Sus scrofa: one gene and its partner. The protein of the gene in region 2 binds, or shares a complex with, the protein of the main gene of each other region. Links are inferred from orthologs where the notes say so. Each region holds a gene or a part of one and is shown on either strand. Other genes may lie near its edges.

Evidence for each region. The genes of interacting proteins can lie anywhere in the genome.
Region 1: HEATR3 (region 2) and RPF2 share a complex: the UniProt entries of both Homo sapiens proteins name them as parts of the hexameric 5S RNP precursor complex. The link is inferred for Sus scrofa from reciprocal best matches to the Homo sapiens genes HEATR3 and RPF2.

Annotation. Positions count from the first base shown.
Region 1 is NC_010443.5:76,957,411-76,959,735, reverse strand, and holds the end of RPF2 (ribosome production factor 2 homolog), read right to left. Parts: intron 1,792-2,325; coding exon 1,612-1,791; 3' UTR 509-1,611; downstream 1-508. UniProt on the Homo sapiens protein: Involved in ribosomal large subunit assembly. May regulate the localization of the 5S RNP/5S ribonucleoprotein particle to the nucleolus.
Region 2 is NC_010448.4:34,745,656-34,749,177, forward strand, and holds part of HEATR3 (HEAT repeat-containing protein 3), read right to left. Parts: intron 2,143-3,522; coding exon 2,002-2,142; intron 1-2,001. UniProt on the Homo sapiens protein: Plays a role in ribosome biogenesis and in nuclear import of the 60S ribosomal protein L5/large ribosomal subunit protein uL18 (RPL5). Required for proper erythrocyte maturation.

The sequences.
Region 1 (2,325 bases), on a different chromosome or scaffold from region 2:
AGGATGGGTCAGCTGAAGGACAGGAGGAACCGAATGGGCCCAAGATGGCATGGGGTTATGATGCTAACTGCCCAGTGTGGCAGGGTCCTTCCCGTACGTAGCTGGTGAAGACCCACTGCTTTGCCTCCTTCCTAAATCACTACCTCCATTAGCATTACCTGGACCAGGCAGAGGTCAGGCCCTGGGGAAGGACTGTGCACCCACCACTTCGGATGCTCCTTTCTTGACGCCCCTTCTCCCCAACCATTGTCCATCTATATGCAGAAGGCAGGATATGAATCATTTTAACTTAGCCCTTTATCCCATTTAGCCATAAAATACAAATACCTGCTTCAGATCTAAAACTGCAGTCTTTGTTTTAAGTGAACAATCAGGCAACAGTGTGAGTGACAACAGCTCCCTCATTTTTATAGGGACGAGGAGAATATTAGGCATTTGGAAAGGCTTAGGGAGAGGGAGGGCCAAAGAATGGGTTTACAAGAGAAGAGAAAGGATGCAGGAAGCAAAATTGAGGTTCCAGCTTTTGTTTCATGTCAACAAACTCACATAAACACACGTACACATAGGCATGGAGGGGCTCCTTGACAAAGAACTGAAAACAAAGGCATTTGTTTTTCTGTGTATAAGGGAGCTTCTCTGCCAGGGAGTTAGTTAATCAAGGAAACTAAATTCTAAACTTATGGCAAATAAGTTGGTATTTCTAGGAGGAAGAAATAGAAGGTGTTTTCCCATTTTCCTAGGCACAAGGTCAGGCTTCAAGAAAATGTCAAAATGGTTGGAACCATGAGGTTGCGGGTTAGGTCCCTGCCCTTGCTCAGTGGGTTAACGATCCGGCGTTGCCGTGAGCTGTGGTGTAGGTTGCAGATTCGGCTCGGATCCCTCGTTGCTGTGGCTCTGGCGTAGGCCGGTGGCTACAGCTCCGATTCAACCCCTAGCCTGGGAACCTCTATATGCCGCGGGAGCGGCCCAAGAAATAGTAACAACAACAACAACAACAACAAAAAACGACAAAAAGACAAAAAAAAAAAAAAAAAGAAAGAAATATGATCAGGTAGTAGACACCTCTCTTAGAGACCTATGTTTTAAGACAGAGCTTAAAATCTCAAAATGAGATTAGAGAACAGGTAGAATTACAGGCAAAATAACAGGAAAGTCAAAAATAAAATTCAGGCTATAGGTGTCTGTTTGGAGCTGGGGTCAACTTTCCAGGCAGCTCATACTAAGCATGTAGTTACCTTGGACCATTTCTACTCTCCAGGACTCTCCTCCCTTTATCTAAAACTTAGTCCAAAATTCTCTAAAATACCACTGGTTATTCTGGAGATCACTCCTCACTCACCTACCAAATGAGACAGAGGACCCTGTTGGGGGGTGGGGAGAGGGAAATATCACATCACAGGAAGAAAACAGCGTATCAGAATGTAGTATCTCAAGTAGGAGGCTAACTTCCAACCTAATACTAGAATGTTACTGTTCATAATATATATAATATATAGTTGAGATGAAATCATCAAGTTATAAAAATATATAAAATCTTGTAAGAAATCACCACTTGATAATTCTCATTAGGTAAAGGCTAAAAATAAAAATGCAGTTATTGGTGAAGTTCCATCAATTCTTTTTAATTCTCTTTGCTTTTTTCTCCTGGTCCTCTGTTATCCTTTCTGCAGGTCGCTTCTTCAGCCCCTTCATTTTCCTGGTTTGTAGTTTGCTTAGGTCTTGCTTCTGCATATGAATCCTTCCATAAGTTGTACCAAAAGTATCATGAGAGATATTTTTCTTTTTCTTTGGCTATGAAACAAGAATATATATATTATTTAATGGTGTCCACCATTATGATCTAGTAAAAATCTAGCGTTCAACTCTCATATTAACAATTTCCATCAGTACACATCCCTTCAACGATGTGGGGTCTAGAGCCCTACATCCCTTTCTTCTCAAACTTAAGTACATACAAAGCACTTGGGGATCTTGTTAAAATGTAAATTCTAATTCAGTAAGATTAAGGTGGGACCTGAGATCCAGCATGTCTAACAATGCCCAGGAAAACTGAGAAGCAACGCTACAGAGTACATTAACCATTGTCATGCACCAAGAGAACTTCCTGTGTTCGGCTTAAGGAATTGTGACTATCATTTCAATCTTTACTGGCATTCCAGAGATGCTATTTCGAGTTACTTTAAAAAACCATTCAAAAGTCAAAACACATTTTACGCAAGTACAGGTTATATATATATCTTATGCTTGAAATCCCATCTTCACGATGCCCAAAATGATTCCCATTTTTGCTGAAAATGGGCAGTCTTGGCTACCAGAAAGCTCTCA
Region 2 (3,522 bases):
GTCAACTCTACATGCCAAAAGGTGGTCAAAAAAGAAATTAGAAAAAGGGAGTTCCCATTGTGGCACAGCGGAAATGAATTAGACTAGGATTCATGAGGTTACGGGGTTTGACCCCTGGCCTCACTCAGTGGGTTAAGGATCTGGCATTGCCGTGAGGTGTGGTGTAGCCTGGCAGCTGTAGCTCCGATTGGACCCCTAGCATGGGAACCTCAGTATGCCACAGATGCAGCCCTAAAAAAAAAAAAAAAAAAAAAAAAGGACAAAAGACCAAAACAAAAAGTGGGAAGGAAATTCTGTCATGTGCTACCACATGGATGAAAGTTTTATTATGCTAAATGAAAGAAGCCAGTCACTAAAAGAAAAATACTATATGATTCCACTTATATGAGGCACCTAGAGTCATCAAATGCATTGAGAGAGAAAGGAGAATAGCATTTTGGGGAGCATAGAGGAGGGAGAAAAGGGGGGTTGTTTTAATGGGTATGGAGTTTCGGTTGTGGAAGGTGAAAAGTGCTCTGGATGAAGGATAATATGAGAAAAAGAATGTATGTATTTGTATGACTGGGTCACTTTGCTGTAAGCCAAAAATTGGCACACAACACTGTAAATCAACTATACCTCAATAAAAAATTTTTAAGGAGTTCCTGTTGTTGTGTAGTGGAAACAAATTCAATTAGTATCCATGAGGATACGGGTTCAATCCCTGGTCTTGCTCAGTGGGTTAAAGATCTGGCGTTGCCATGAGCTATGGTGTAGGTAGTTGAAGTGGCTCGGATCCGTGTGGCTGTGGTGTAGGCCAGCAGCAGCAGCTCCAATTTGACCCCTAGCCTTGGAACTTCCACAGGCCACAGGTGTGGCCCTAAAAAAAAAAAAAGCAAAAAAAAATTTTTTTTAAAGAGAAAAAAAGCACTCTGGAGATTGGTCATACAACAATGTGAACATACTCCACACCACTAAACTATACACTTAAAAATGGTTACAATGGTAAAATTTATGTTATGTGTATTTTACCAGTTTAGGAGGGGGGAAAAAAAAAAACCAAACTCCTCTTAAGATAAATCCCTCCAAGACTAAAGGGCAAGAGGAAAATACAAAATAAATTACTATTACTCGACATGTCATCAGGTTATTTCTTATTTGTGTATTTAGAAATTCATGGGAGAAGTGCTGGGTGAAGGTTTTATAGAAAAGAGGCCTACGGTCAACTTCCGAACTCCATGGTTTATAAATAGGCAGGGGGAGGGGGTCCTGAGAACATCATTTATCAGACAACAGTAGTTTGGTAAATTGAAAACCAATCTAGTCTCAGAAGGCTCTGAAATTATGCAAAACTGCTTGAACTGGGGGCTACTTAAATATTAGAAGTTTCAAAACAAACGTGAGCACACAAAGCCCTGATGTGATGAAATGAAAGAATGGGAGTTCTCGTCGTGGCTGAGTGGTTAACAAATCTGAATAGGAACCATGAGGTTGTAGGTTCGATTCCCGGCCTCGCTCAGTAGGTTAAGATCCGGCATTGCCATGAGCAGTGGTGAAGGTTGCAGACATGGCTCAGATCCTGTGTTGCTGTGGCTCTGGCGTAGGCTGATGGCTACAGCTCCGATTGGATACCTAGCCTGGGAACCTCCATGTGCCACAGGTGCGGCCCTATAAAGCAAAAAAAAAAAGAAAAGTAAATTTAAAAAAAAAAAATAGGAGTTCCCCTCTCAGCGCAGTGGTTAATGAATCCGACTAGGGACCATGAGGTTGCGGGTTCGATCTCTGCCCTTGCTCAGTGGGTTAAGGATCTGGCATTGCCGTGAGCTGTGGTGTAGGTGGAAGATGCAGCTGGGATCTGGCGTTGCTATGGCTCTGGTGTAGGCCGGCAGCTACAGCTCTGATTTGACCCCTAGCCTGGGAACCTCCATATGCCGAGGGAGCGGCTCAAGAAATGGCAAAAAAGACAAAAAGAAAGGAAGGAAGGAAGGAAGGAGCACACTATCGCATATGGCTACATTTTACCTGCCACCAATGTCTTTAATAGAATATATTCCGTGGAATTGACCGGAGAAAGCATTGCTGATTCCAAAACATGCAAAGCTGGGGCACTGAAAGACTTTAGTAGCTCTGGATTATCTTCAGTCACCGTCTGCAAACAATATGCTATAAAGAGAAAAATCAAACATTTAGAAACGTGAATTCTAGGAATGATTTAAACCAAAAAAACACATCTGCATTCTTTACAGCTTCTTTAGACAGAGGCAGCTTTTGCAGGAGGCACACACTTGCCCTCCAACATGTGCATGCAAAGGAGGCTTCCTAAACTATCAGAGCCATAAAAGGTCCTTTTCTCTTTTCTTTTTCTTAGAAGTTTCCTTTGGGGCTCAGTGGTACCTACGAGGACTCAGGTTCGATCCCTGGCCCCACTCCGTAGGTTAAGGATCTGGCGTTGCCGTGAGCTTCGGTGTAGGTCGCAGACGCGGCTTGGATCCTGCATTGTTATGGCTGTGGTGTAGGTCAGTGGCTACAGCTCCTATTTGACCCCTAGTCTGGGAACTTCCATATGCCACACCTCTGGCCCTAAAAAAAGAAAGAAAAATACTAATCCTTTACAGAACCATACTTTTATAGAATATAATTTAAAAGGCTCTTCACTGTCATGACAAGATAGAATTACTATAAACATCTATAAAGTTTTAGCCTCAATTGCTGTATTCACTGCAAGCCAGTAGCGAAGAGCCTGCAGACCAAACACCAGTGCACAGACAACGCTCCCAGGGTAGTTCTGTTGTCGATAAGCCCTAGGTTTGGGGATATTCTGGCTTTGACAGTCAGCATGACCTTAAAAGTTAGGGTTATCTGTGATGAAGCAATATTTAAGGAAAAATTTACTTTATATACAAATATGAAGAAGTTCCCGTTGTGGCTAGTATCCATGAGGACACAGGCTTGATACCTGGCCTTACTCAGTGGGTTAAGGATACGGCGTTGCTATTGCTATGGTGTAGGCCGGCAGCTGTAGCTCCAATTCCACCCCTAGCCTGGGAACCTCCATATGCCGCGGGAGCGGCCCAAGAAATGGCAAAAAGACAAAAATAAATAAATAAATAAATAAAGAGCAAATTAAAGGATGCATAAAATATTAACAGACATATGATTCATTTAACTCCTCTCTGGTGTTAAAAAAAGCTCATGGATTACAACTTATATATTAATCTACTTATAAACAACTGGCAGTGCATAAAAGCTTTGATAAAAGAGACCTCTGAAGTATACAAAAGAGGAAGCAAGCACAAATTTATTTTCTTTGAGATACTGTATTCCATACAAACACATTTCTTTCCAGGTATAAAAACCCCAAAACAGATTGTTTCCATTCAAATTAGTAGTCAAAATACTGCTATTGCCCTGATCTAGTTTGGTTTCCAAATACATTTATATACAAATCCATATATAAGCATATATGTACATATACATATATCCAAATGTAACTTTTTTCATTAAGAGACTAATTAAATTCACTCAGGCAAAAAGCTAAAATAA